Linked DNA regions of Diceros bicornis minor. The protein of the gene in region 2 purifies or fractionates together with the protein of the main gene of each other region. This does not show direct contact. Links are inferred from orthologs where the notes say so. Each region holds a gene or a part of one and is shown on either strand. Other genes may lie near its edges. The genes, in order: ARFGEF2, MYCBP, ARFGEF1 and SPAG5.

The links.
Region 1: the proteins of MYCBP (region 2) and ARFGEF2 purify together in Homo sapiens (co-immunoprecipitation; 4 studies listed by BioGRID and IntAct, with this or other methods). This does not show direct contact. The link is inferred for Diceros bicornis minor from reciprocal best matches to the Homo sapiens genes MYCBP and ARFGEF2.
Region 3: the proteins of MYCBP (region 2) and ARFGEF1 purify together in Homo sapiens (co-immunoprecipitation; 4 studies listed by BioGRID and IntAct, with this or other methods). This does not show direct contact. The link is inferred for Diceros bicornis minor from reciprocal best matches to the Homo sapiens genes MYCBP and ARFGEF1.
Region 4: the proteins of MYCBP (region 2) and SPAG5 purify together in Homo sapiens (co-immunoprecipitation; 3 studies listed by BioGRID and IntAct, with this or other methods). This does not show direct contact. The link is inferred for Diceros bicornis minor from reciprocal best matches to the Homo sapiens genes MYCBP and SPAG5.

What each region holds. Positions count from the first base shown.
Region 1 is NC_080758.1:12,954,797-12,962,737, reverse strand, and holds the start of ARFGEF2 (brefeldin A-inhibited guanine nucleotide-exchange protein 2), read left to right. Parts: upstream 1-4,929; 5' UTR 4,930-5,016; coding exon 5,017-5,137; intron 5,138-7,941. UniProt on the Homo sapiens protein: Promotes guanine-nucleotide exchange on ARF1 and ARF3 and to a lower extent on ARF5 and ARF6. Promotes the activation of ARF1/ARF5/ARF6 through replacement of GDP with GTP. Involved in the regulation of Golgi vesicular transport.
Region 2 is NC_080752.1:52,679,797-52,687,328, forward strand, and holds the start of MYCBP (C-Myc-binding protein), read right to left. Parts: upstream 3,018-7,532; coding exon 2,934-3,017; intron 2,739-2,933; coding exon 2,666-2,738; intron 1-2,665. Other genes in the region: GJA9 (gap junction alpha-9 protein), read right to left, coding at 4,164-5,711. UniProt on the Homo sapiens protein: May control the transcriptional activity of MYC. Stimulates the activation of E box-dependent transcription by MYC.
Region 3 is NC_080772.1:19,746,459-19,754,068, reverse strand, and holds the start of ARFGEF1 (brefeldin A-inhibited guanine nucleotide-exchange protein 1), read left to right. Parts: upstream 1-4,602; 5' UTR 4,603-5,449; coding exon 5,450-5,573; intron 5,574-7,610. UniProt on the Homo sapiens protein: Promotes guanine-nucleotide exchange on ARF1 and ARF3. Promotes the activation of ARF1/ARF3 through replacement of GDP with GTP. Involved in vesicular trafficking.
Region 4 is NC_080757.1:18,899,008-18,906,396, forward strand, and holds the start of SPAG5 (sperm-associated antigen 5), read left to right. Parts: upstream 1-4,389; 5' UTR 4,390-4,451; coding exon 4,452-4,502; intron 4,503-4,752; coding exon 4,753-4,878; intron 4,879-7,389. UniProt on the Homo sapiens protein: Essential component of the mitotic spindle required for normal chromosome segregation and progression into anaphase. Required for chromosome alignment, normal timing of sister chromatid segregation, and maintenance of spindle pole architecture.

The DNA.
Region 1 (7,941 bases), on a different chromosome or scaffold from region 2:
AATCGAGAGGGTGCATTGGAGTTTTGCCTTAAAGTAAACACAGCAAATAAGTAAATTCCAAAGGGAGCAATGACACACAGAGGCGCTGTGGGAGCAGGGGCAGGTCCTCTGGTGTGGCTAGCGTATCAAGAGTCTGTGTATCGTGGGAAGAACCAGGCTGGCAGCTGGAAGGGCCGACTACAGGAACAGCCACAGGACATTAAGTGACTGACGCGTGTTACCAAGTTGAGACATTACTCAGAGGAAAACAGGAGTCAGAGCAGACACTGTTGGTTGCTGGCTTTATTAGTTAGGAGTAGCTTCCACTGCAAGAGATGGGGAACCAAAAATAAACGGTGCTTATGTCTATCTCATGTAAAAGTCAACAGGCAAGCGCCCCAGGATTGGCATGACCCTCCAGAATGTCAGGGACCCAGGTGCCTTCCCTCTTGTTGCTCTGCTGAGAAAAACTGCTGTTTCTTTTATTTACTTATTTATTTATTTTTGTGTGTGTGAGGAAGATCAGCCCTGGGCTAACATCCATGCTAATCCTCCTCTTTTTGCTGAGGAAGACCGGCTCTGAGCTAACATCTATTGCCAATCCTCCTCCTTTTTTTCCCCCAAAGCCCCAGTAGATAGTTGTATGTCACAGTTGCACATCCCTCTAGTTGCTGTATGTGGGACGTGGCCTCAGCATGGCTGGAGAAGCGGTGCGTCAGTGCGGGCCCGGGATCCGAACCCGGGCCGCCAGTAGCGGAGGCTGCACGCTTAACCGCTAGGCCACAGGGCCAGCCCAAAACTGCTGTTTCAAAACTGCCTCATGGGTCCACCACTGCTGCTGGGCAAAAGGAGACTGCGAGTGGATTGCTAGATAAAATACAACATATCCAGTTAAATTTAAATTTCAGGTAAATAGTGAATATTTTAAAAAATATAATTACATCCCAATTATTGCCTGGGATATACTCATACTAAAAAAAGTATTCATTATTTATCTGTAATTCAAATTTAACTGCTGTAACAAATTACCGCAAATTTAGTGGCTTAAAGCAACACAAATTTATTCCTTTCCAGTTTTGGAGGTCAGAAGTGTAAACGAGATGAGCAGGGCGGTGTTCCTCGTGGAGCCAGTAAGGGAGAATCCGTTTCTCTGGCTTTTCCAGCTTCTAGAGGCTGTCGGTGTTCCTCGGCTTGTGGCCCCACAATCACTGCTTCCATCATCACACCTCCTCCTGACTCTGACCCTCCTGTGTCCCTCTGTGAGGACCCTTGTGAGTACATCGAGTCTACCAGATAATCCAGGATAATTTCCCCATCTCAAAACCCTTAACTTAATCACATCTGCAAAGTCCCTTCTGCCCCCTAAGGTTCTGGGGATTAAGATGTGGGTATCTTTGAGGACCATAATTGTGCCTACCATAGAAACACAGAAGTTGCTTCCCAAATAACTTAATGATTAAATGATTAAATCTGGTGGACTCCAATCCAGCCACCTCCATTCATTCATTCATTCCCTAGATGGTTATTGAGCACCTTCCGCGTGCTCTGGGCACAGAGCTGTGAACAAGACAACGTCTCTGCCTTCATGCATGCACATTCTACCCGGGCAAGACAAGACGGCAAGTGAACAAAGTCACGTGAAAACAGACCTTTCCTTTAAAAGGTGGATCCTAATTCTTCTCCCCTGGAGTGTGGGCTGGACTTCGTCACTCACTTCTAAAGCAACTATGTGTAAATCAAGGGAAAACTATATTTTGTCTGGACTTTATCAAATGTCATTCACCATTTCAAAACCACATTACCAACATTCACGCCAATCATGGTTGAGTCCCCAAAACAGCACCCTTGATCAGTCTGCATGGTGAGCCACTCTGGAGACTAGGTCAAAAAAATCACTGCAGCTTCCTAAGAGCTCTCTCTCTTTTTTCTTGGATCACTCACTCTGGGGAAAGCAAGGTGTCACATCATGGGCACTCAAGCAGCTTTGTGGAGAGGCGAAGAACTGAGGCCTCCAGCCAACAGCCAGGTGGGGGAGCCACCTTGGAAGCAGCTCCTCCAGCTCCAGTCAAGCCTTCAGATGAGACTGCAATCTCATGACAGACCCTGAGCCAGAACCACCCAAGCTGTTCCCAAATTCCTGACCCATAGAAACCATGAGATAATAAATGTTTGACTTTAAGCCCCTAAGTGTTCATGTAATTTGTTATGTAGCAATAGACAACTGATACACAGATAAATAAACACCACCATTTCACTTACATTTCAGAAACTTAATTTGGTTTAGTGCAATAAAGAAAATAAATCAAGACGATGTGGACACAAGGGGTGGGGGTAGCAGTGATAAGACTGGGAGGTTGATGAAAGCTTCCCTTGCTGAGCTGATGTTGAGCTGAGAACACAATGATGGGACGTGGCTAGCAGTCTGAGCAGGGCTTTCTAGCCCCAAGAGACACCACACACCCCTTTTATAACTACGAGGTCTCCCTCGACTATTCTGAAATAAAATTTATAGATAATGAAATCTTCCTACACACATAATTTTTTAAAAAGATAATGACCTAACGAACAAGGATGAAACAAAAGGAAAGCAATGTATAATTTGCAAATTTTATTTCCATATATAAATGCTCAGGCACAATTACACTAAGAGATATAATAAAGCAGTCAGATACTGGCACCTAAAAGCAGAAACTGGGATGACGACAGCTACAAATGCAGGCTGATCAGGTGTGCTGTCATGGCGACTTAAATACCAGGGCCTGCATAAATGGTGGTGATGTGGTTTTGAACTGGTGAACAACATTTGTTCAAGTTCCACACAAAATGCAGTTTTCCCTTGAATTACAATAATAGTTGCATTCCTGAAAAATTCGATACATATTAAAACTGTGTGAAAAATGCTTTGTGTTTCTATGTAAAGTAGATGTGCGTTCTAGGTTTAGATCATTATTAATAAGTTTTTCACCTCCAGGTCTCACCAGGGTTACACAAGCTGTTGTATTCAGCTGGTGGGTCGGCTGGGGGCTGGGCTCAGCACGGAAAGCTGGGATGACTGGGCTTCTCTCTTCATGGGCTCTTTCTTCCAGATGCTCCTGAGCATCCAAGGTCTCTTGGTGCCTAGGCTCTGGAACGCAGGCAGCCTCACTTCCTCCACTTTCTATTGGTCAAGACAAGTGACAAGCCTAGACCAAGGGGGTGGAGAAACAGAGTCCACTTCTTGACAGGAGGCACTGCAAAGTTGCATTACAGCCATGGAATTCATGTCCATGAAACATTCTACCCGGCTCTAGACCAGGCCCTGAGGATACAGCCTGCCCCTCTGTGGCCTACAGCCTAGTCAGACAACAAAGTCAACAAGTAAAAATTGTGAGATAGTGCTATGAAACACATCAAATGGGGGAGGGGGGCTACTTCAGACAGAGTGGTCGGGGAGGGCCTCCCGGAGATGCTTGAGCTGAGACCTAAGTGTTTGAGCATGCCTGCATGGGAAGTTTCTGAGGTTTCCAAGAAACACATGGTCCTTGCGTGAACCCAACAGCACCACAGCTTCCCTTGGGGGAGGCGGGCAGTGTGAGAGGAGAGGCTCGAGGACATCGCCAGGGGTGGTGTGATATCAGGGGCAGTGGGATGGAGTGGAAAGTGCCCTGGGGCCAGAATATCTGTCTTCTTACACACATTTGCGGCTGTGTGACACTGGCCATCTCTGTTTCTTTCCCTGTCAGTCGCCCCCAAATACCCCCTGCCCTGTTCAGCACTGTGAGGAACTACAGGTTTACAAAAACAGACGGATACACTCCGGGGAGAAGTACACGTGGGGTGGTTCTCACGGGCAGCACCGTGCACAGATGTGGCACTGGATACACAGAAGGGCACCAAACCAGAGGCCAGGAGTTGGCTCAACTGCGGTGACAGGAGGTTGTGTGGAAGGTGTGTGTGTCCTGCTGACTCTCCCGTGTTGGAGAGTGTGCATGAACACACCTCCTGTCCCTCCCTCTCTTCCTTTCACCTCTCCTCTCCATCCAGCCCTCAAGCCCTACCTTCCATTTCTCTCTCCATCACACCAGGTTTTCTTGCCAATCTTTCTCACCTCCTCCCCTTCACCTCCCTGTCACACCATTTCTTTCTCCATTTCATCCCTCTTCCCTTCTCCTAACTTCCCCCCTCTTCCCTTTATCCCTCTCTTCATCTCCTCTTCTTTTCCTCTCTTCTCTGCTCCTCTCTCCAACTCTCCTTCCTACCTCCTCTCCCCTCGCCCCTGTACTTCCTCTCACCCCATCTCCACCTCTCTCTCCCCTCACTGCTTCTCTTACCTCCACGCCTCCCCTCCTCTCTAGCCACCTCACCTCCTCTTCTAATCCCCTTCCTCTTTCCTCCTCACCTCCTCTCACTCCATCACCTCTCTCTCACTCAATCTCCTCTTCTCCCCCTCACCTCCTCTTTCATCCTCACCACCTCCTCTTGCCCCTTTATCACCTCTCAGCAGTTCTCTTGTCTCCAATCTTCTCTTTCCCCTCCTTCCTTCCTCTCCTCCCATCTCCCCTCCTTCCTCGTCTCTTCTCTTACACCATCGTCTCCACTCCCACGCTCCTCACTGCCTGTCTCTTCACCTCCTCTCTGACCCCATCACCGCCTCTCCGCCCTTTCACCCCCTTTCCTCTGTCCTCACGTCGCCTCCTGCCTTCACTCACTTCCATCCCCTCCCCTCCTCCTTTTCCCTTCCCTCCCCCGCCCCTCCCCTTCTCGCCCCTCCCCTTCTCGCCCACCTGGCCCCGCCCCACCCCGCCCCCAGCCGTAGGCCCCGCCCCGGCGGGGTCACGGGGTCGAGGGACGCGCGGCGGCCGTAGCGGCCCCGCCAGTCACGTGGTCACGTGACGCGCTCCAACATGGCGGCGCCGTGGGGCCGCGGCATCGCTTCCTGACGGGGCGGCGCCGACGGACGCGGCCGGTGCTGGCCGGGACGCCGGACCCGCAGCCTCGCTCGCCCGCTCGCTCGCGCCGCCCGTCCGCGGGGCCGCCAGCCCCCGCCGGGCCAGGGCCATGCAGGAGAGCCAGACCAAGAGCATGTTCGTGTCCCGGGCCCTGGAGAAGATCCTAGCCGACAAGGAGGTGAAGCGGCCCCAGCACTCCCAGCTGCGCAGGGCCTGCCAGGTGGCGCTCGGTGGGTGAGCTGCCCCGGCCCGGCCCCGCGCCGGCCGTTACCCCGCCCGGCCTCCTGGGCTCCACCTCCCCCCGACCCGAATCCCACCTCCCCGCCTCCTCATGAGCCCCCTGGGAAACTGATGCGGCTCGAGACTGGCCCAAGGTCACCTGGCAAGTTGGTGACAGCCAGGGCTGGCTCTCCAGCCTCCCAGCCCAGGGCTCTGCCCGCCACTCTCTGCCGTCCTGTTTCCTGGTTCCTTCCGTCGCCACCCTCCGAGGCGGTAGCCCGTGTCCGAAGTTTTTTCTTCACCTGCGCTCTGCTGGTTGGGGTTCCCCTGTGTGAGCAGAGCAGGTGCGAAGAGCTGCCCAAGTGGTTTAGGGAAACCCCTGAGGCTTGCTTTGCAAGTGACGGATTGGAGAAGGTTTTCCTTTCATTTGGGGATCTTCCATAACTCCTTCAACGAAGGAATGTAGAGGGTTATTTTGCATCTCCCAAGTATTGCAGTGTGCAAGAAATCTGCTTATTTCGGGCGGTCCATTAAAATAGAGGGTCTGTGAGGGCAAGGCTACTTGTCTGTTTTGTTTATCGCTGGACCCTCTGCACGCGCAACAGTACCGGGCACGTAGTAGATGCTGATCGAATGGACCCACAGATTACGGAGACAGAGAGAGAACTCTAGCTCCTTAAAACCTTACTAGTTGATTCCAACATCAACATCCTTTCAGTTTCGATCATTCACCACGTATTTACCGCACGCCCACTGTGTGCCAGGCCCTGTGGTAGGCGCTGTCGTGGGCAACAAGGCAGACAAGGTGTTTGCCCTTATGGAGTTATACTGTGATAGGGGAGACAGAATAAGTATATAAGAAAATTAATGAGACATTTTTGAATACTAATAAGTATTTTTGTGAAAATAAAAGAGCGAGATGGGGGAAAGAGGGGCTGAGGACTGTTTTTGATATGGTGGTCAAGAAAGTAATCGTTTCTGAGGAGGCGATCTTTCAGCTGAGTACTGAAAGGCAAGAAGTATCCGCCATGTGGAGTTTCAGGAGAAGAGAGTTCTGGGCGGTGAGGATCAAAACATTTGACCAGAGCTGGCTTCAGGTTAATTCGCCACCCCAATGCCTTTGGTTTGGAATCAGTAAAAAGACTTGTTTTTCCTAACAAATTGCCCGAGAAAGTTTGATTTTCTATCACAGAATGTGAGGTTGCCGTCACCTTTCTCCCTTCATTTGGTGCAAGGCACAGCGCTGGAATTCTCTTGGGGCCTAGGAATGTGCTTGTGAACTTTGCACTTCTCTGGGAAGAGTGTCTGTGGGTTTCATCAGGTTTTTTAAAGGGTCTGAAACTTCCCTCAAGGGTCCAGAACTATTGATATAGAGATTGTTGTTGCTTAGATAATCTGGAAACAGATGCTAGTTCTGTGAAATTCAGGACTAATGGGAGGAATTTACTGAGATTTAGATTTTTAAAGCTTTTCAGTTCAGAAAACCTAAGGCTAACTGTTGGATATTGTTTTATCAGGAATGCAGGATAAGTACTACAAAGCAGTTTGTTAGTTAGGCAAAAGCTTGATACTTATAACTCCACTTTGAAATCTGGAAATGTGGAAAACTTTAACTGAATTGTTCTAATAATACTCTTTTCGTATATACATGTATGATAAAAGATGCAGTATCTTATTTAATAATTTAAAATCTTCTACCCTCTCAACATTGCCTTAAGAGTATTGTTGCAGAAGTTTCAAAATAGTTATTTGGCAGAAAAGTTTTCATTCCCCCTACAGAAAACTTAACAAAATTTTCACAAAATCGTGTATCACATTGTTGGAACCTACTTATAGAATTGTCTTAAGGGCCATAGCATTGAGAGCTTATGAGCTATTTTTGGATCTTATCTTTGTTCAGAAGTTCAGATTTTTCCGAGCTAAGTTGTGGAATGCACGTTCAGTGTTTCAGTAGTGAATTGCGAGAAGTAGCCTATATAGGAAGAAATTTGACTGCGGGTTAAATGAATAGCAAAATGACGTGGTGGCTCATCATTATCAAATTGGGTAATAGCAACTATTATAAGGGAACCTCTGCATGGTGTTGAGCTAAACTGGACACCTTTTTTAAGAGAGTAACTGTGTGTCATTGCTGTTAAATGGAAATGACTGCTTTTACTTATACACAATAGAAAACATAGAGCAAAGTACCTGGTGGTATTTCACTCTGCATCTCAAGGCACCATCTTGTGTCCAGTAAAAGTGGCTGAAACCAGTCTGTATAAGAAGTGTTGCAATGTGGCTGGTATTTTAGAGATTACCATGTGTAGATTATTGTTAATTTTGATAAGAGGAACTGTAAATAACCGCTTAAAGTTGAAATGCTTGGATAATAGAGAGCACTTACAGGAAACAGCTTCTGTGGTACGATTCCACCGGTTGTAGTGTATTGGGGTAGGGAGTCAGGGCTGCAGGGCTGGATAGTATAGAGATTAGGAGCGTGTTCTCTGGACTTAAGACTGCCTGGGTTCAGAGCCCTTGCCTTCCACTTGCTTTCTGTGATCTTGGACAGATCTTATACCTTCCTCACAGGGTTATTATAAAAATGAGGTTAGTTGACAAGTCCCGAGAACTCGGTGTGTCGTAGGTGCTCGGTAAAGGCTTGCTGCTATTATTTATGTTTATTACTATTTTAAGCTGTGACAAACCACAGAAACTATAAGCGCGCTAGCTTGATATTCGTAACCTCCATTGGTTCCTTGTTCAGGAATGACTTATTGCTCTGTTCGGTCTGTAGAGGCAATAAATAAGAATGTAATTACACAACTAAAAGGCT
Region 2 (7,532 bases):
AAATCAGCATTAAAATATATACTTTATGTTCAGTAGCTTCATATCCAGTAGCTCATGTCAGCACTACCTTGCTCATCTTCTACTGAACAAATCCTCCTGGAATTTCCTACTCAGATAAAAATCTCTCTAAAACAGAGGTTAATTTTTTTGTACATGGAACCCTTTGAAAAAATCTGATAAAAGCCAAAAAATGTTAACTACACACCAAAAATTGTGCATGTCTAGACCCCAAGTTAAGAACTCTTGTTGTAAACCAACTTACATGCTTCCCTTTTATTTTTTAGAATTTTAATAAGTCATCAAAATACAGACAGTATGAAAAACTCAAACGGGCAAGTACTTTTAACATCTTACATTGAGTTCTGATACTCTTCATCTCTCTAAATACACTGCCAGCACTATTTTTTGAGAAACTGGTATATCTGCATCACCACTACCCTCTCCTCTCCTCCCCTCTCTCCTTTTAATATGTTACAGTACTCTTTAATTCCTTTGCTTACTACTTTTTTCTTTAAATTATATACTCAAACCTGTTTTTTCTTTGATTAATTTCTACTGATCTCTACTGAATACTAATTTTATAAGACATGAATACTCTTACCCTTTCTTCCTCTTCTTCCCCCACCTCATTTCTTTCAGCTTCTAAATTTCTGTCAGTGGTACTTACAAGGTTGATAATTACAGAACATAATGTAAATGTCAAGTTTCCTGTGCTTTTCTATAGATAAAATATACTTTCTTTTAATCAGATAAGAACTCTATACCCAGTGTTCCCCTTTTTGCCTTACTAGCCACAATTTTTACAGGTTAATATAGTGCTCAAAATAACTAAAATGCCTCTTCTTCCACTGACTTATCTTTATCTTTATCCATCCTGTCTTTTACTGTTTCAATGTTAGAAGTAGTTTCAAATCCTCTTGGAAATAAGCTGGATAAAAATTATAAATTAAATCTGTGTAAAGTACTTATGTTTGAAGCTGAAAATCAAATTTTAAATTTTATCAATAGACACTATGTTATCTGATGTTATTTAGGAGACTGGAAATCTAGGGAGATTCAGGGATTACATACCAGTGGATGTGAGCAAGGTAAAAGAAGCCACCCGTGGTTTCCAGTCTCTCATAAAGAAAAATCCGTGTATGACCACAAGGCTGTACATCTTCAGTTACCTCCCACAATGGTCACTTCTCTGCCCTTTACCATTTCTATCTTTCACTCACTCCATCTAGCCACTCTGGCCTCCTTAAACATCCAGGAACTCTTGACATCACATACTATTTCATTCAGGTCTCTGCTTAGATGTTACTTAAGAGAGGCCTTCCCCCACTGCCCTATATAAAATGGGACACACATCCCACCCCATCTCTCTTTATCCCCTTACTTTGCTATGCTTTTATTCATAACACCACCAGCTGACACTATGAGTTTATTTATTTGTCTCTCCAACTAGGATATAAAAAAATTCATTCAGAGCTTGGCCTTTTTTTTCCCACTGCTGTATCTCCAGTGCCTAGAACAGAGACCTGAATAAAATGGCTAAATAAATGAACTTGTGAAGTTTTTTGAAGGGAGTGGATTGATGCAATTCCAAGCATCAGTGACACTTCCAGAGACAACAGAGCACGAGGCTTTCATAGAGTAGTCCCTTAGTGTTTGGTAAAATTTGCAAAGAGATAGGGAAACTAGTACCTGAACCCAAGGTAGGTAGCAATTCAAAATTACCAGCTGATGCTTAGGAAGTGAAAGCCCTGCTTTCTGCCAAGACTCAGAGTTATTCCTCTCCCAGAATGTTCTCCTAACCTTTGCTTCTGGCGAAAGAGCAGTTAAACAAATTATTTCCCAGACACTTACTATTCTCATATGGTCCCAGATCATCATCCCTGCCAGTTCTTCTGTTCTGCACCATTGAAAGTCTCAGCCAATGAGTGATACATAGCAGGCATTCAAATTACTGCTGAGCTAATGAAATAAGCAGTACCCCAACCGTCTCTTGGAACCCTCCTGTTTCAAGAACCTTACTCATCTACTTAGATCTTGAACCGTGGAGGAAGAGATACAGTGTAACAGTAAGCTTCCATTTTAAAAAGTGAAAACAATATAACCATGTTGATGTGCCCTTAAACTCTTTAAACTGTAATTCCACTTTAATTTTGAAATCTGCACAAAGCAGGAATTGATACACACTAGGAAACGGGAGTTGAAAAGCCACAGCCAAATTGACTATGAATCGCCTACTTTGGGGATTAGGCTTACTTAGCTACTTCATGGCCCACTTTCGAATCTGGTAATTTTCCCACTTGCCCTTTGTTCCAGAGAAACTGTTTCTTTACAGGATTTTGAGGACTTCGAAAATTGTGAGGAGGAAGGAATTGGGATCTCCAGGTCTTTAGCAAACATGTTCACTGCGGCTGCTCGAGGCAAAGCAACGGAAGTTAGAGACTTTGCAACAGCTGCAAGAGTTTCACTCCTGGCCGGGAGATTGGTAGCGTGAGCGAGGCTACCCCACCCAGGCGGCGTCCGGCCCCGCTGAACCCCGAGGCCCACCTTGCTGGACCCCGGACGGGTCCTACCTGTTGCCCCTCCTTCCCCACGCCACCGCCGTGTAGGGCGCAGCGCCGAGGAGCACGACGAGGGCAAGAGGAGCCCTCTCCTAGCCCATGCTCACCGTTGGTCAGCGTGTCCAGCACCCCCGACTTCTCCAAATACCTCCGGAACTGCTCGCGCTTCGAGTCGGCGGCCTGAGGAGACACGGCGGGTCAGCGGCCGAAGCTCGGGGGCCGGAGCAGGAAGAAGGCGCTGGGAGTCCGGCAACCCCGCCTCCGCCTCGCTACCTCGGGCCCCCAAAAGCTGCGCGCGCGCCCCCACGCCCACCCAGAGCCGAACAGCGGCTGGCTACCGCCCGCACGCCCCCAGCCACGCCGCGCCCCCCTCACTTTGTAATGGGCCATAGTGACAGCGGCAGCGGCGTAGCTGGCGCCCGGGACCGTGGCTGGCGGGCTCTGAGCAGCACTGCTCATGCGCGGAAGGGCGCGCGCGCCTGCGCACTTGGGAACCTTGGGAGGGGGGTGGCAGGGGTGTGGCCTGTTTTCATGGCGACGAGGACGCTCTGAATGCCCCATGGTGGGCTGAGCCGAGGGAGGCTGCGTACGCCCGCCCCTCTAGCTACCGGAGCAGCACCTCTCCTTCCTTTTCCGGTCCCGGCAGCGACTCGGTTGCTTAGGGAGAGGCGAGGTTTGGGTAACTCGGGACAAGAGTCCAGGTGGGGTCAAAGATGGGCATGGAGCCCAGGAGCCTGAGGACTATTGCAGGCGGGGAGGATCTCCGGACAGTAGTAGTGGGCGGACCCGTCTCAATGGGAACCTCGGAAGCCGTGGTCTTCTTGACTCTCACCCTGAAAAGGTGCCCACAACTGACGCAGGGCGACTTGGCCGACTCGATGTGGGCTCGGGAGGGTGAGTGGCACCATGTAATAATAGCACTTATGAGCGCTTACTGTTTGCCAGGCGCTGTGTTAAACACATATGTTTCTTATTTTAATCCTCAGACCCTCCCTGAAAGGTAGGTACTGTTAGTAAAGTGGCAAGGTTAGGTAACTAGTGAGTAGTAAAGCCAAGACTCCTATCTGGGTACTGGATCACGATGCTATAAAGAGGTGAAAGAAAGCCACCAATCTAAGATTTTATTTACTAGACAGCAACATTATGACTATATTCAAGACACATCAGGTTGCAATCTAGAAGGAAACTAAGTCCCTGGGCAAACAAAATTTAATCAGTGTCCAGAAATAAAAGATTAGTACCTAAAAGGGGGAATTATATATAGATCAAGAACAATCTTCCTAATGCTGTGCTCCCTTCAAGGAAAAAACTAGTTCCAAACCATTTAGCCTCGATTCCGAACATGTGATTTTCCCAAAATCAGTTTTCAGGAATTCTGAAGGGAGCTTCTGAAAAAGTAATCCTGATTTGGTAACTCTATGTCTTTTAATTTAAAACTACCCCTTCACAATTCAGAGTTAGAGCCGTTTTCCGTTTTTGAAATGAGTTTGCAGTTGTCTGTAAACAGCTGGTCTTTAGAGCTGCCATTATTTGTTTTGTCTATGCTCCACCACTACTAGGCTACTTCTATGGTAATAAATATGTAGACTAAAAGCCAACAGCTGTTCAGATCTGAAGGTCTGTGGGAGCCCTCCTACCACTGAGGTTGTTTGTCAGCAACACTAAATGATTTGGAGGACAAGCAGTAGGATTATTGCAGGTTCTGACCGACTTGGATTCAAAGGACAACTCTCCCAAAGAATCAGGAGTGTCTGGAATGTCAGGTGGTTGGAAGTCACCCTGTGAAGGAGGAATGGTTCTGATTGTGCTCTCTCTGAACTGGCCCCTGAGGTTACCTTTAGGAGGTGACATCTGTTTTTCATCTTCTGTAGAGGGACCCCATGTAGCACGAAGCCACCTGGGTTTCCAGGTGCAGTTAGGTGGCGGAGAGAAAGCTGTTTGGGATGACTGCCCCACGTGGTTGTCCAGATCTATAGCAACACCTGGAATAGAACAGTGACCTTTAGAGTAGTGGTTTCTTTTGCTGTCTTTGCCGTCAGTTTCTTTTTTTTCCCTTAACTGGTTACCATTAACTTCTTTTCCAAATATTTTATGAGTGTCTTCTTTATTACTTGAGCCGATGTGTTGAAGATGACTACAGGTAGTACTAAATGTGCACATATCTTTAGAAAATACAGTTTCCTGTTCATCCAAAATGCATTTCTCATCATTTCCACTGTGATTGTCAGGATCCGCTTGAAATGCAGATGCATTTAAACTAGGGTGCACTGCTATGTGCATTTGCTTTTCCACTAGCAGATTACAATCAGTTGCAGAAGAGAGTTTCTTCAGTGAATTTGCAGATGTATTTTGATATTTGGCAAGATTTTGTTTTGACTTGTTCACATAGAATTTGTTATGCTCATCGTTCAATTTATATTGTCCCAAAAGCCCTCTTTTAATCTTTTTAAAACCTAGGTGGAAAATTTCTAGAACATTTAAGAAAAGTGAAACGGTGGCTATGGATTGCATAAATAATAGGAATATTGTCTTCTCTGTGGGTCTTGAGACAAAACAATCAATTATATTTGGACATGGGTGGCCATGGCATTTAAACAGAGGATCTAAATGAAATCCATATAAAAGATACTGTCCAATCATGAATCCGACTTCAACCACAGAGCGAGTGAAAATGTGTATCACATAAGTGCAAAGCAACGTTCCTCTAAGCGGAGCTTTGTTTAGTTTCCTTTGCTCCAGCTGACAAAGTTCTTGCTCCAGTCTCCTCCGGTCCCCAGGCATTTCACACTCGATCCCCTCCAGTTCTCCTCTCAATTGAGCTTTCTTCCTCTGTCTCTCTTTCTCCAGAACTCTCAGTCGGTACAAAGCATGGCCCACGTAGACCAAGGATGGTGAAGACACAAACAGCACCTGCAAAACCCAGTATCTAATGAGGGAGATAGGAAAGGCCTGGTCATAGCATACATTTCTGCAGCCGGGTTGTTCTGTATTACAGACGAAGCCAGATTGCTCATCATTCCAGACATCTTCAGCTGCTACACCCAGAACAAGCATTCGAAATACGAACAGGATGGTGAGCCAGATCTTTCCAATCATGGTAGAGTGGATGTGAACTTCCTCCAGAATGCCTCCAAGGAAATTCCAGTCCCCCATGTTTGTTTAGTCAGCCATCTTAGGTCTGAACCCCATCAAATAGGACGCAGGTAAATTCTTCCATTCTGAAGGGCGTGCTATTTCTTGAAGCAAGCCTATGGCCAAAATATGAACAAAGCATCACTCTTTCAGTGTGTTGGTTGTTTTCCTTTTCCCCTGGAGAGCTGTGATAATCTGTTACCAAGAATATATTTAAGATGTCAGGAATTTAAAAGCACTTACGTTTAGACCTCATAATGCAATGAAAAAAAAAATGATAACCTGGGGTGGGGTGTATATATTCTCTGTGAAGAATAGAACTGTAGGATTCCCTATAAGGAGTTTTCTTACTTAGCTGTTGTTGTTTTATTTTTTCAAACTGAGAACTTTTGGAGAGGTTCCTAAAACTACTGACTTAATCTTACAAACCTATTTATTAAGATTATATAAAAGTTACAACCAAAGTCAATGATTTTAAAATCTCATTTATGCACAAAGGAAAATGAATGTGTTTCATTTGATAATTCAGTAAGATAACAGCATTTAATGAAACCAGAAGAAACAGATCTGGCTCTTGCTATAGGAATTTAGATTAGTTCTTTAATCCACATTTAAACGTCTAAATTCCGGTTTCTTTCTGGCAGTTTTTGGGCATTTTTAGAAGCCATTTCATTAATATATTTGTGGATATAAATATAAATTTATATCCACATAAAATTCTTATTATACTTTGCTATGAAAAATTTTGTAAATCTTTATCATCTTAAAATGAACTCCAAAAATTCTCAACTATTTTGTACTACCCGATTGTTATTAGATATTACTTGAAATAAATGGATCATTGTGGTGGTGGTGATATCATAGAAATTTTCATTGTAACAGTATTTGACCTATTTAAGACATGTAGCTTGCTTTTGTGGAGGGAGCACTGGGGCAAGTTATAATTTAGATGCTTGGATTATCAACCAGTAGGTTCCATATTAAGATATCCTAGGATACCTAAGAGTAAATATATCCCAAAGGAAAGAAAAAAAGAGTGAATGTTTTTATCTACTTTCATGTGAATAAAATATAAATGTATGTCCTATACCCTTTATAGAAAGGGAAATGTTACACTATCAAACATACTAGGATACTATAGCTACAAGATATGTTCATCATAAAGATCCTATGAGGTAGGTATGTTGTTTCCCTGTTTTTACAGATAAAGAAACTGAGACACACCTTAAATTACCCAAAGTCACACACCTAGAACTGGCATTCAACCTCAGTCAACGTGGCTCTAAGGTCAGCTCTTAATTGTTTTACTAGATTGTTATTTTTCCTCTTTAAGCATACTTGAAATTTGCATGAAAAAACATTAAAAAATCATCTGCTTTCTCTTAAAAGTTTAATTATTTAAACTAGGCATGTAAAATAGTGATAATTTTGACTTTTTAAATAACTGGTTCTGGAGTCTTAAGTTCCCTTTTTAAAGCTTTATATAGTTAAAAAAAAAACTTGCAAAAGCATCAGCCTTCTAAAATTTAGTTGTATTCCTGAGATAGAGAAAATTTCTATTTGACTTCATTATGTTAATAATAGTATACTCGTTGACTCAACAATTCAAAGGACTTTAAAGTGTAAACAAAGATATTATTCATGTTGTTTATAATAATAATAATTTGAAAACATCCAAAATAATTATCAATACAAGAAAGGCTGTATTGTACATAATAAATTACAGTACAACCACAGTGTGGTACTATGCAACCAGTAGACTTGATATACTAATATAAAAAGATATTTGATGTATTATTTCAGTGACATTCAGGTTCTAAAATAGAATAGTATGGCCCCATT
Region 3 (7,610 bases), on a different chromosome or scaffold from region 2:
TGCTGAGGAAGATTGGCCCTGGGCTAACATCAGTGCCCATCTTCCTCTACTTTATATGGGATGCCGCCACAGCATGGCTTGACAAGTGGTGTGTCGGTGCACGCCGGGGATCCGAACAGGCGAACCCCGGGCCACCGCAGTGGAGCGCGTGTACTTAACCGCTGTGCCACTGGGCTGGCCCCTCAAAAATTTTTAAATCCTATTTACAATAGAGCCAAAAAGTGAAATGCTTGGTTATAAATCTAACAAAACAGGGGCCTATTAAATACCACATTATAGTCTCTCATTCAATAAATATTTGCTTGCTTTTTTTATCTTTTCTTTCCAAATCAAATTCTTCAATCTATCATGTTTCCCTGTTTACCCTGTCCAGTGTATTGATACTTTTCCTGCAGAACAGTAAGCAGAACCTCTGAGTCTGAAGACACACTTTATTCATTTATTTCCTTAATAAACAAGAGGAAAAGTAGCAGACTGATAAAAGAGGAATATCAAATTAGCTTACAAGCTTCTTCATATGAAAAGCAAGAAAGCAGATGACTTACTTTGGAGATGGCTTTTCTTACATTAGTCATGTCACTATTGTGGTCTCAGCAAAAGTGATATATTTCTCTGTTTAATCAATGTTTTCCCATCTTTTACTAAGTTGCCTGCTTTATCTTGTATCCTTGGTCTTCAAAAATTTGCAGTCTGATTAAACACTACCGTGGATATATAATTAGGGGTAAAGTGTGAGATAGATGATGCTGCAAAGGACAGAGAAGGGTGGGATTGGTGCTATTGGAGGCAGAAGGAGAAAACTTAGAAGGGGATGAATTTCAAAGAGGCTTTGAAGGTTGGGAAGACTTTGGGGAGAGCAAACAAAACAAAGGTGGTGGTGGGCGCTCTGGATTGCTGAAACATAAACAAAGGCATCCAGGTGCAGATAAGCTTGGTGTTTGTATGGACACCTGGTGTGGGGGTGAAGCAAGGGAAGGGGGGCAGTTGGAGGAGGAATGTGCTGGAACTTGAGTGGTGCAGGGGAAGAGGGAGTCGGCAGAAAAGGAGGCTACAAGAAATGACTGTTTAGAGACACAGTATAGTTAGTTGTTTAGAGTATGGGCCCTGGAGCCAGACTTTCCAAATTGTAATCTTGGCTCCACCACTTATTAATTGTATACTCTAGGCAAGTTATCTAAATTCTCTGTGTCTCAGTTTCTTCACTTATAAATCAGAGATAATAATGGAAACTTCTTCATTTGAGTTGTTGTATCTGGTTCATAATAAGCTCTATATAAATCTTTATTATTATTATCATTTGGAATGTTTTGAAAGCTAACAGAATTTAGAGATCATGTGAAAGACTACTCAAGGCGTCATAGTTTATTTTAGTCAAGTGAACATGATGCTATTTTTGATGTTAACTAATATTGGTTTTTAACATCAATCAGATATACTCAGCATTAATTAAAAATCTATGCACATTTTATTTAATTTTTATGTTACACCAAACTTATATCTATATTTAAAAGGATGATGATAAAGCACACCAACCAGATGCTAAAACCCAGATCAAATCTTTTGTTGTTTGGTATTATTTGACTTCTTTGGGAACTAAAGTGGGAATATTACCTAAAGAGAAAAGTTAAGATAGCTAATATATAGCAAAGTGATAGACGAAAGGGAAAATGATATGGGGTAATTAGGTGATAAAAAGGTGAGATTGCAGACTGAGAGGCAAAAATAGAGGATGATAGGCATTTCATAAATACAGAATTTGAATTTGAATGTTTTGAAAACAGCAAGGAGTCAAACGCAAATAAATACTGAGATTGGATTTCTTATTTAAATAGGTTGAATAACCACCAAGCAACGACAATAGTAAAAAATAAAAGGAAACATACATACAGGGAAATATATTCATAATTTTGTGTAAAAATTGCCTGAGTCTGGCACCCTCAAACACTGTCTTTCCTTTTATCTTTCAAGGACATCAGCTTTATTTTAGAGTCTTATCTTATTTTTTGCTCCAGGAAGGTCAGAGTTAACATCTTGAGTTTCAAGCTGGGTGAGAGTGACTGACCTCCCAAGGCTGCGTCTCCCGCCTGCCCCTCCACCCCTGCCCCTCATTACCACCATCTTCTGGGTGAAGTTCTAGACTCAGCAAAAGAGGAGAAAGGAGGAGAGAGGTCATTTCTATTCATTCACTGGCTCTGGTCAGAAACATGGCATTCATTTGTGACCTCTTCCTTTCTCTCACCTTCATTCCAATTCATTATTAAGTCCTGTTCATTCTGCCACCAAAGAATATCTCAAATCTGTCTGCTTCGCTCCATCTCCACTGCCATCACTCTGACACCACTGGTCCATCTAATCTTTATGCAAATTAGAAAAAAGAGCCCCTTATCCCTGGCAGATGCTGGAGCTGGACTTCAGCCCATTTGCCATCTTTGTGGAGGGCATGATCTCCCAAACATTGCATGCTGATCCTGGTCCAGCCTAAGCCATGTTGCACTGTCGTAATCACCTCCTCACTGTTCTGCCCACATCCAGTCTTGTCCCCTTCCAATCTCTTCTCCACACAACAGAGGGATTACTTTTAAGTCATCAATTTGATCACTTCATTCCCTACTTAACCCTTCTATAGAATTCTATTGCTACTGGGATGAAATCCCAAACCCTTAACATGGCCTGCAAGGTTACGTAGGATCTGATTCCTAGTTCCCTCTTTATCCTTACTGGCACCATTTCCCCCTTGATAACTTTCAGCCACTGCCTTGTTTTGGTTGCTGAAATTTGCCAAGCTTCCCCTGTACCCCAAGACTGCTTAGGAAGTTCTTGCCTGACTTAGTTTGGCTGATTTCCTTCAGGTCTCAGTTTAAATGTTACTTCTTCAGGAAGCCATCCCTGAATCCAAAATCTAAAGATCTCCTCATAACATTTTGTTCTTCTCTTTAATCATACTTAACACATTTGTAATTATATATTTATTAGTGATTTACTTGTTTAATATCCTTTTTGCTACTATATACTGTAAACTCCACAAGGGCAAGGATCATGCCTGACTTAGGCCAGTGTCTTTCATTCATTCAAGTTTCTATTCAAGTTTCTACAAAAGGCCTTCTCTGTGCCAGTGACTATACTAGATGCTAGGCATATAGAAGTGAATAGACAGATGAGGTCCTTGCTCTTATGAGGGAAACAGATCACCAATCAATAAACAAGTAAGCAGACAAGATAATTACGGATTGTGATATGTGCTATGCAGTAGAATCTGAGCTCTTCATGAGCCAAGATCTCTGTCTGTATTACTCATTAATGAATGCCAAGTGTATTGTTTAGGATAAAGCTAGCTGCTAAACATAGCTGAGTTTACTTTGCTCATGTTAAGTAAGTCCAAAACAAATATTCCCGATGGGTGGATCCTTCTAACTTGTGGCTCTGCCATCTTCAGCACGTAGCCATGCTGAAGAGGAAAGAGCATGGAAGATTGTTTGTGGAAGACTTTTTTTTTTTTTTTTAAATGAGCTAAGCCTGGATGACTACACGTAACTGCAAGGGAGGAACATAAGGTACCTCTGTACTGAGAAGAGTAAATGGATTTGGTGATCAGCTAGCACCTTCAACAGTACCTGGCACAACAACAGCATCATGAAGAAACTAAGATAAATTAGAAATGAAGCTTGTTCTCAAAAAGTTTATAACCTATCAGAGTGTACATGGAAATCAATATTACATCTGATCTAGAAGTATATTCAATCTCTAATTTCCAAGAAGTTAGAGATAGTCTTGAAAATGAAATTAATGAATTTATGGATGTTTCTCAGGACCAGAAAGTTTTAGAAATTAATCTATTTGTCCACTTTAATTCGGGGTCAGCTTTAAGGTTTTCATTTTTATTTCTCATGTTTTTTCGCCTGTCCCAAATCTTGTCACTTCACAGCCTCTCCATTCTTGGGTTTGGATAGCTGCATTAGGACAAGTCGGTAGTCAAGGCAATCGAATGGATCAGAACAGTGAGAAACACATTCTGACAATCTGGGACCCTGTGTTGATCGGGGCACACAGTAGCTTTGAGCTTGGAGACATGCCCCTAGATCACCATGTAAATAAGTTCTTCGCATACGTTTTTAGGGTATTCTTTATAATTTTCTGCTCTGAAGGAAACACTTTGGATTTGAATTCTTTCGTGCCAAAGCAGACATATGGTCACGTGTGCGTGTGGGGTAATCGGTTTGTACTTAAAGCTTTTCCATTCTGAAACTGGTTTTCACGTCCTGGACCGCATCTTAGTATTAAAGGCACACAAACAGAGCTTTCAAGGACCTCGTCAATCAGAAGCATTCACCTGTTCGCTTAACTCAATTCAGAAAGGATCCGAAATCTAGTTTACCGATGTATCCTACAGAGATGAAAAAGTGAAACATTCCGGAATCCTTGTTAAACTGGTTTTAGTTTACTCTTCCCAAGGGAGAATCTTCCCCTGAGGTAGTCGGTGGGCATAGTCCTGGAGAGCAGTTTCTTGCATCTGGGAAGGAAATTTAGAGTCGAGCGCGGCGGGTGGGAACACAGTACGGCTGAGCATGGGCGACACGCGTGTTTCCGCGACCCCTGGAGCGGAAGGGACTGCACTCCCACCACCCGGATTTCCAGGAAGTTGGAGAAGCGGATGCAGCACAGCCTGGAATCTTGTTCACCCAGCTCGAGCAAGGATACCAAGGGGTCCTGGGTACCGAAGCCAACCCGCCGCAAGTAGACCGAGGTGCCCGGCGCGGCGCCGCAGGACGCCCGCCACGCCCCACGCCGCCCTGCAGGCGAACGCGGGAGGCGGCGAGGCCCCGCCGGGCCGCCGTAGCGCTGCGGCTCGGGCCGCTCCTCCCGCGCCGCCCTCCGCCCCCTGCCTCCCGGCGCCGCGGCAGCTCTGGGCAGGCAGCGCCGTCGCCGCCGCTTCCTCCTCTGCAGCCGTTCGGCCGCTGCGTGACGCGTCGTTTCCTCCCAACATGGCGGCCGGGGCAGGTCGGCGGTGATGGAGGCCAGTCCACTGCCGCGGCGGGTGCTAATCCCCACAGTAGCCAGGGCAGCCCTGCTCTCGCCGGGCCTCTGAGCCGCCTCGGCCCTCGGCCCCCGGCACACGGCCGCCAAGGCTGGGCTCCCTCGCCGCCCCCGGGCCGGAGGGGCGAGTGAGGGGGGTGGCCGGGCAGCGACTCCCGGGCCGGGAGAAGCGGAGGTCCGACGGGCGCGGCCCTCCAGGGGCGGCCTCTCGGGGGACGGTGAAGACCCCGGCGCCCCTCGCCTGCACCGTGGCTGGTCCCGCTCCCCCGCCCCTTCCTGATCCTGCCGCTGCCCTCCACGCCTCCTCTCCCCCACCTCCACCCCCTCTCCTTTCTCTCCGCTCTTCCTCCCCCTCCGCCCCCCCTCCAGCCGCTGGGAGCCGCGGGTCGGACGGGCCGCTGCCTCCTCCTCTGCGTCCATGTATGAGGGCAAGAAGACGAAGAACATGTTCCTGACCCGGGCCCTGGAGAAGATTCTGGCCGACAAGGAAGTGAAGAAGGCGCATCACTCCCAGCTGCGCAAAGCGTGTGAGGTGGCGTTAGGTGAGCGGGGAAGAGGCCGGGCGGGGGCGGGGGCGGGGGTGGCGGCCGGCGCGGCGGCCCCGCGCGAGGTGGGGTCGCCTGGGGGTGCGCCCTAGGCCGGCGCCGCTGACCTCAGGGAGCCCTCGCCGAGCTCCCTGCTGCCCGGCTGGAGTTGACAGCAACTCGGCTGGATGTGGGGCGGAGGAGCAAGGGCAGTGAGCTGGGCTTGGACTCGACTGGAGAGTGGGAGGTTATTTTGTCGGTGGACCGTGCGGTGCGGGCGGGATACCAGCCTTTGTGATGAAGCAGAAGATGAGCTGTTGTTTATTAGCTTGGAAATTGAGGTGGAGCTGATTTGTCGCGACTGGGCGTGGGAAGGGTTCCGAGTCGTAATTTCAATAACTTTATTGTTTGGCGTGGCACTTTGGGAAGACAGGCTGAAGTTGTTCCGTTGTTGACAGTCTTGAGAAGGGCTTTGCGAGAGGTGTAGCCGGTTCTGACATCTCTCCGCCTCCGCCACAGGAAAAACATAGAGTAATGTTTTATCTGACTGGGCTGACCTGGAAGAACAAGACCAGAGGTTAAGGGGTGGGGGTTGCGATATAAAAGCGGGGAAGGAAGGGACCTTTAGATAAGCTGGTTTTAGTGACAAGGAAAGGAGGGTTTAAATGGGGAAAATGAAAAAGACAGTGACACCCACCAGCCACATGTCTGGACAGGGGCAGCTGCTCTCAAGCTTGAATTGTGATTTATAGTTCAGACGGAAGAGATCTGGTGTAATGAAGCCCGGAGCAGGGTCAGTCTAAACAATACCTACAGCGAGGACGGGCAGCGGAGGAATTGTTCAGGGGGGAACGCTGACAGATCTATTGCATCCATCAAAGATGAAATCGTTTAAGGCGAGACTAGGACATTTAACACGAAGATGAATTCCTAATGCTTACGTTTTATTTTATAGCTCTGGAAATAGACTTGATCAAATTGATGAGAAAATGAACCTTGTTAAATGGGCTTTGAGGAAAAAAGCGTTCTTGAGGGTGAAAAAATCCAGAATAACTTAAATGTGTGCTAAAGTAGAGGATCAAGACAGCTTAAAAGTAACTTTGCCTTTTAATTATTAAAATAAATAGGCTCCTTTTTAACTTGCTGTAATAAGCTATGCTGTTTTTTCCCTTATTTTTTGAATCCTTAAATGTGGTGATATGAAAAACATTGAAAAAATTTCATTTAAAAATTTTGAATCTGTAGTAAAGTTTAGTTTTTTGGCCCCTTGTGGATCAGAAGTTTACCATTTGTTGTTCTTGTAGCTAACAAAAGACCTCCAGGTGTGTGAGAAGACATTTAACAATGGTAAAAATTGATTTATATCTGGTTCCTGACAGGAATAATTATTAAATTGCGGCACGATGAGAGAGGGAGTGATTTTATTTTAGACTTTTTTAAAGAATTGTTATGTATAGGTTTATGAATAACTTGCAGATTAAAGAATTTATGAATAACTTGCAGATTAAAGAAATTAAAGAATTTAAGAGATTGAGGCCAGATTTTCCATGTTAGAGTATATTTTTAATATACTAAATTATAAGTATTAGACTGAAGAAATGGAGTGTGTTGTGTCTGTATATTTTTCCTCTCCAAAATCCTAATATAAGTAAGTTTGTTTTAATGGAAAGCTCACTGGAAGGAGAGTCTGGGATCTTAGGTTTAAATCCCAGTTCTGTTACTTTACAATATAGTCAAGTCCCTGGGCCTTAGTTTCCTTCTCTGTAAAATTAGGATATTGAACTTAATGATTGTAATGTGCCATGAATATGAATACACTGTTCTGTTAACTTGTGCATTGAGTATTCCTGCCCTCTTGATTGGCCCTTTTAGAGGGCCTATAGCTTGGTTCTTGGCATTTTCAGACATAAGAACTACTTGGTAGTGTGTGTGCTGGCTTACCAGGATTCTCTATTCCAGATTTTGCCAGTTTTTACTTTTTTGCTTCTTCCATATTGTTAGCAGAAGCTTAGTATGAGGAATGTGACTACCCAGGCAGGGGCTGGGCACTGGAGT
Region 4 (7,389 bases), on a different chromosome or scaffold from region 2:
CATACAGCAACTAGAAGGATGTGCAACTATGACATACCACTATCTACTGGGGCTTTGGAGAAAAAAAAAAAAAAAACGGGAGGAAGATTGGCAATAGATGTTAGCTTAGAGCCGGTCTTCCTCAGCAAAAAGAGGAGGATTAGCATGGATGTTAGCTCAGGGCTGATCTTCCTCACACACACACACAAAAAAGATATAAGTTAAAATGAGGTCATATGGGTGGGCCCTAATCCAGTATGATTGGTGTCCTTATAAAGGCACCCTTATAAAGACACCCACAGAGGGAAGACCATGTGAAGCTACAGGGAGAAGACAGTCTCTACAAGCCAAGGAGAGAGGCCTCAGAAGTAACCAACCCTGCTGACATGTTGATCTCGGACTTCTAGCCTTTTGTGAGTTGTGAGAAAATAAATTTCTGTTATTTAAGCCACCCAGTCTATGGTACTTTGTTATGGCAGCCCTCGCAAACTAATACAACCCCTATGAAGAGTTCTAATAGATTAATCAGGAATGATTATTTATTTACAAAAATGCATGCTATCTTCTTCCCTATAGGTTGGTTTTGCTTATATTCTGAGAACATGTAATTATTTTAGATTTCATTGGCCTCTCTATGAGTTTTGCTGGTTTACAGAGCTCCACTGATTAGCTGCTGTCACACTGCCTCCTTTGTTCAGTACTTCATCATACACAGTAGCAGGTCTAGTAATTCCAGTTTCATCCTTGAGTTCACTCAGCTGCCTGGTGGATACTTCTCAGAGTTGCTGATTTGGGTTATGTAATTTGATTTTCATAAAATAAGTAATCTCTAATCAGAAAATTTAAAAACTACAATTGCTTTTAAGTAGTTGGACCCCTACTTCATATCATATACAAAACTTAATTCCAGATACATTAAGGATTTAAATGTGATCATCAAAACATTAAATACCTTAGAAGAACATTTGGGAGACTAGACCTACAATCAAGGGATGGAGGAGATACCTAAACTAAGACAGAAAATGAAAGCACTATAAAAGAAAAAGAAAAACATTTACATAAAAATTTGATGAATGAATAACTCAATCAGATAAGATCCAAATGCTCTAAAACGAAAGATAAACATCTTGACTACATAAAAGTTTTATCTTTGTATGGCCAAAGATATCATTAATAAAGTCAACAGACAAAAAATAGATCTAAAAAATTCTGCAGTGTGATGACAGTTAATGTCTATAACACAGAACTCTTACAAATTAGAAAAGAGAAGTAACATTTTTTTAAAAAGGGCAAGGAATAAGAAATGACCAATCAATTAATTAGATCTATATCAGTTGACTTAGAAGACTCTATACTAGACAGTGAGGAAAAAAATGCAGAAGTGTAAGAAATAATGCCATTTTTGTAAAGGACTCAATACCTTCTTCCCCTCCCTTGTGTGTGTATGAGAGAGAGAGGGAGGGAGGGAAAGAGGGAGGGAGGGAGAGAATGCGCAAGAATGTGAAAAAGGGAACCTGGAAGGGAGAGAGGAGTAATGCAAGTGGAAAGAGAAGAGAAAAAAAGAAAGGCATGAGCCCTCAATCCCAGAGACCCCAGGCTGCACATCAGTTAATTTTTGGGAAAAACAAATATGTGTGTGTAAATGAAGACAAAACCTGTGTGAATGCATATATGTTTTTATAAAGGTATACACACTATTGGTTACCTCAGGCAGGTAGAATGAATGGGGGAGGCTGTGCCTTTAATACATCTTTGCATTGAATTGTTTCTCTTGCTATAACAAGCATCTATTATTTTTACAATTTGAAAAACACCAAATTAAAAAAATTATTATCCAAACAACACCAACAAACCAATTCTGTTTATGTTACCTATTTACAATGGTATTTTCCCTCTTATCTACCCCTCCATCTCTCTCCTAATTTGCTGGCATCTGACATACCAACTGCAACAAGGACTAAGCAGTCCAATTTACACATTTCTATAATACAAGCTAATACAATACTACTGGCACTTAAGAGTTTTCTGTCTTGGTTTTTGTGCCACTTGCTACCCTTGTTTTCTTTTTTTTTTTTTTTAAGATTTTATTTATTCATTTTTTTCCCCCCAAAGCCCCAGTAGATAGTTGTATGTCATAGGTTCACATACTTCTAGTTGCTGTACATGGGACTCGGCCTCGGGTTGGTCGGAGAAGTGGTGCCTTGGGGCGTGCCCGGGATCTGAACCCGGGCCGCCAGCATCAGAGCGCGCGCACTTAACCGCTAAGCCACGGAGCCGGCCCTACCCTTGTTTTCTTTGCTGGATCTTTTCGATTGGCCAGAAGTATACATACCTTGGGATTCCCTCTGCTGAGTCCTGGGCAATCCCAGACTCAAGTTTGTGCTCTTATGTTGTCTTTCTCCCAGTTTTCCATTCAGGCAACTGTTCTCTCTAGTGCCCTGAGGCTGGGACCTTTTTTTTTTTTTTTTTGTGAGGAAGACTGGCCCTGGGCTAACATCCGTGCCCATCTTCCTCCACTTTATATGGGACACCGCCACAGCATGGCTTGACAAGCGGTGCATCGGTGCGTGCCTGGGATCCAAACCTGGGAACCCCAGGCTGCCGCAGCGGAGTGCACGCACTTAACCACTTGTGCCACCGGGCCGGCCTGGACCATTGTTTTTAGAGCTGTGCTGTACAATAGAAATATAATGTAAACCTCATAAGTAATTTTAAATTTGCTAGTAGCCACATTAAAAAGGTAAAAAGAAATGGGTTAAATTAATTTTAATGTATTTTATTTAATCCAGTATATCTAAAATATCTTTCAACATGTAATCGATATTAATTTTTTTTTTTGCTGAGGAAGATTCACCCTGCACTAACATCTGTTGCCCATCTTCCTCTTTTTGCTGAGGAAGATTGGCCCTGAGCTAACATCCCTACCCATCGTCCTCCATTTTTATGTGGGACACTGCCACAGCATGGCTTGATGGGCAGTGCATCCCTCCATGCCTGGGATTTGAACCGTGAACTCAGGGCCACCAAGGTGGAGTGTGTGAACTTAACCACTACTCCACCAGGCCGGCCCCTCTTCCTCTGTGTTGTATGTGGGTGACTGTCACAGCATGGCTGATGAGTGATGTAGGTCCGCACCCCTGATCGGAACCAGGAATCCCTGGCGGTTGAAGCAAAGCATGCCAAACAACCACTACGCCAGGGGGCTGGCCCTAATCAATATTAAAAAATAAGATATTTTACTTTTTCCATACAAAGACTTTGAAATCTAGTTTACGTTTTACACCTATAATTCATCTCAATTGGGACTAGCCACATGTGGCCAGTGGCTGAGGTATTGGACAACACAGTTTCTAGAGGAGCCCATCCCCTGAGGGCCCTACAGTTCATAACAGATTACAGTTCCTCCTCTTGGGATTATTGCCTTTTCCAAACTCATTAAGACTTCAGAGTGTAAATAAGATGCTGAATGTTCAAAGGAACACATTTCATCATAAACTATAACTGTGAATACTTACCTTTAGGCTGTTTCCAAAAATCAATCAGTTTCCTCTTAAATAGCTAGATTTCCCATACAGAGGGGACTGAAGCGACAGTAGAATGCAGTAGTTCGTAGTGTGGGTTGGCATCTTGCCTCTGCCATTTACTCCCTGCGGGGCATTGGGCAAATTACATTATCTATGGTTCAGTTCCTTCGTCTGTAAAATGGGGATATTTATAGTACCTACTTCGTAGGTCCTTACGAGGATTAAAGGAGTTAATATCGATAAAGCATTTGGAACAGTGCCAGGTACCTAATAAATGTGCGATACCCGTTAGCTATTGTTCCAGTAAACTTGTTGCAGGCCCCAAGGTAAGTCCCAAGAACACGCTAAAAATTCTGAAGAGGCTAAATTACAGCGCAGGTTGAGAACTACGTCTCAGGCCCTCACCAACGCAGGACCTGTGCGCGAACCGACCAAGCCTAAGGAAAAAAGGCTACACTCACCTTTCCTTTCCGGACTACCCGGCCCGCTCTTTCTGGTCAAGGCTGCGGCGCGAGGTAACTAAGAGACACCGGAGAAGAGACTTCCTGAGGCCAGGCCACGAAGACCACTTTTCTGTCAGGGCGTGAGGGTGGTCTCCTGGAAGCAGGAGGGATGGATTCCATGACTCTCCTGCTGCTTGGGTACCGTCCCCGAAGTGAGGCCATAAGACTGGCCTCGGGCTTGCGGCACGTCGCCCCTCCTGCCCGTGTCTTTGGTACGGGATCCGCAGAGACCGCGCGCGAACCGCGGTCCGGGGCGGGGGCGTGGCCAATGCAGGCCCCGCCCCCTCACCCGCCGTGTTCGAGCCCGGAGCAAACACGCTAGGCCGACGCACTGAGGCTCCGCAGCCAATCGGGAAGCGCGGAGCAGGTTCAAATTCAGACGGCGGGTGAACATGGCGTCACCCCTTGGGTCTGGGAGGAGATCGGGCTGCGTTTTGTGTTGAAGATGAGGCGGGTGAAAACACTGAACGTTAGCCTGTCGCCTTCGCCTCAGCCGGTGAGTGGGAGAGCCTCATGGAGAGAGAGCTGGGCCGAGGCTTCCGGGGCGGGGGCGCTGGCAGTGCCGAGTGTGCTGGAAAGCTGGGTCGAGCCTGGGGGCGGGGGCGTGTGGAGTCTTTTGTTGGTCCAGACGCTTCAGCGCGACTGGCGTCGAAGCCTACTCTTCTTAGTGCCCTATGGGCTTCTTAGGGAGGGAGGAAGGGCGGGCTGGCAGAGCCAGGCTTTCTTACACTCTCTTTCTTTCTCAGGGAAAACCAGCTGTGAGAACTCCCCTCCGAGAACTTACCCTGCAGCCCGATGCCCTCACCAACTCTGGAAAAGGGGCCCCGATATGCTGCTCGCTGACTCCATCACTGTGCAAACTGGGGCTGCAGGTGAGATTCGACTGCCCAGCTTCTCGACTGGGCTCTTTGCCGAGGCCAAGAGCTCAGAGGAATAGAGGACCCGGGCTGGAACGTAATTAATAACAATAATGAAGTCTTCTACCTCAGTGACATCCATTTACAGCTATTCAGGCCAACAGAGAGGTGCCCTAGGGTGGTTAAAGGAAATCCGCTGAGAACCCAGACCTCTATTTAGATGTTAGTTTTTATCACCTCCTCCCCCATTCAGTCTTTACTGAACTACTGAGAAATACTATCACTTTGATTAGGGGTCTCCCTCTAATATGGGCTCACTTATGGAGAGGTCAGTCAGCTGCAAGAGTGAGGCAATGTCCATCCATTCCAAGAGAGAGTCAAAACTCTCCTGGGATCAAGTTACACCACTGGAAGGCAGAGCACTTGGACCATCTTTGTTTATTTTTATTTATTTATTTTTTAAGTTTATTTTTATTTATTATTTTTTTGTGTGAGGAAGATCGGCCCTGAGCTAACATCTGCCAATCCTCCTCTTTTTGCTGAGGAAGAGTGGCCCTGGGCTAACATCCGTGCCCATCTTCCTCCACTTTATATGGGATGCCGCCACAGCATGGCCTGACAAGTGGTGCGTTGGTGTGTGCCCAGGATCGGAACCGGCGAACCCTGGGCCGCTGCAGCAGAGCATGCGCACTTAACCGCTTGCGCCACCTGGCCGGCCCGGACCATCTTTGTTTAAACTAGCCCCTTGTAGAATTGCCCTCACTGAATTGTACTTTTGTCAAAGGTCTTGAGAGAAGTTGCCATGTAGAAACTGCTTTTCACTTGCTGTAAAACTTGTCAAGGAAGGCGAGTGACCCCTCTATAAGGTTCCTCGAAGAAATTTCCTTTAGGGGCGGGCCAGTGGCGTAGTGGTTAAGTTTGCACACTCCACTTCTGTGGCCCAGGGTTCGCTGCCCGGATCCCTGGTGAGGACCTACACACCACACATCAAGCCATGCTATGGCGGCGTCCCATATACAAAATAGAGGAAGATTGGCACAGATATTAGCTCAGCGACAATCTGCCACAAGCAAAAAGAAGAAGATTAGCTACAGATGTTAGCTCAGGGCCAATCTTCCTTACCCCCCCAAAAAAAAAAATTTAAAAAAGAAATTTCCTTTAGAACTTACTGCCTGGGAAAATTCTGAAGAAATTGCTTTGTTTTTCTCTTTCTGATAGTGACAACTATGTAGTTTACTACATTTTACATTTTCCCTCTTGAACTGGCTTCTAGAAAGCTCAGGGTCAAATTTGATCATCAGGTATAACTACTGCTACTCCCTGAAATAGGAAGATTTTCTTCCTTTTTCTTTTTCTTTTTGTATTTCTTTAACCTGATGTATCCATCTATCTGTTCTTTTTCATGCAGTCTGAATTATTTTTGGAAGGAGAGGGGACATAAATAAAATAGGTTAGAGGAAGAAAGAATAAAAGCACATGGCAGCCTGAGTAACAGATGTATGAGAGTAGCAGTCTTTCTGTTTTTTTTACTGTGAGGAAGATCAGCCCTGAGCTAACATCCATGCCAATCCTCCTCTTTTTGCTGAGGAAGACTGGCCCTGGGCTAACATCTGTGCCCATCTTCCTCCACTTTATATGGGAGGCCGCCACAGCATGGCCTGACAAGTAGTGCATTGGTGCACCCCTGGGATCTGAACCCGGGCCGCCAGCAGCAGAGCGCGTGCACTTAACCGCTATGCCACAGGGCCAGCCCTGGAGCAGTCTTTCTTGAAAGAGCTCTAACACCAACTGTCCAATAGAACTTTCTGGGATGATGGAAATGTTTGATAATCTGTGCTGTCCAATATGGTAGCTATTAGTTAACATGGCTACTCAGCACTTGAAAGGTGGCTAATGTGACTGAGGTACTAAATTTTAAGTTTTATTTAATTTTAATTTAGATAGCCAAAAGTGGCTAGTGGCAACTATATTAGTACAGCTTAGGTAGAAAAGAAGTAAGTACTAAGTGGGAACTGATCTTCATAGAGCCTATAGAATTTAACCACAGCCATTTAATCACAGTAGCAAAATAGACTTCAATTTAGGTCTCCCTACTCTTAACTGGAGGGCTTGTTACCTCCTGATATAGTCGGCAATATAGACGAAGTTTTTTCCCCCCAAAAAATAACTTTTTTTTTTACTTTTTAAAACGTGATTATTTTTATCTTAGATGTTCATTGTTTGAAATATTTGAACGATGTGTAAATATAAGGATGAAAATGTTTCTGCCATTTTAGATAACTATCATATTTGAAAATCCTTTCTTGCATCTCTTTATGTGTATCTATCTGTGTGTATATGTTTATATACACACATATCCATAGATTATCATATTACTTTTTTATCAGGTCAATTTTTTTTCCCTTTTCTCTCTCCTCTCTTTCCCTTTTTTTTTGGCTTAGCTCCACTTTTCCTCTCTCTTTTGCCCCTCCTCTGGAATTAATCCCTCCCACACGTGCCCTGCTCTTCCCAAGAAACCAATCCATT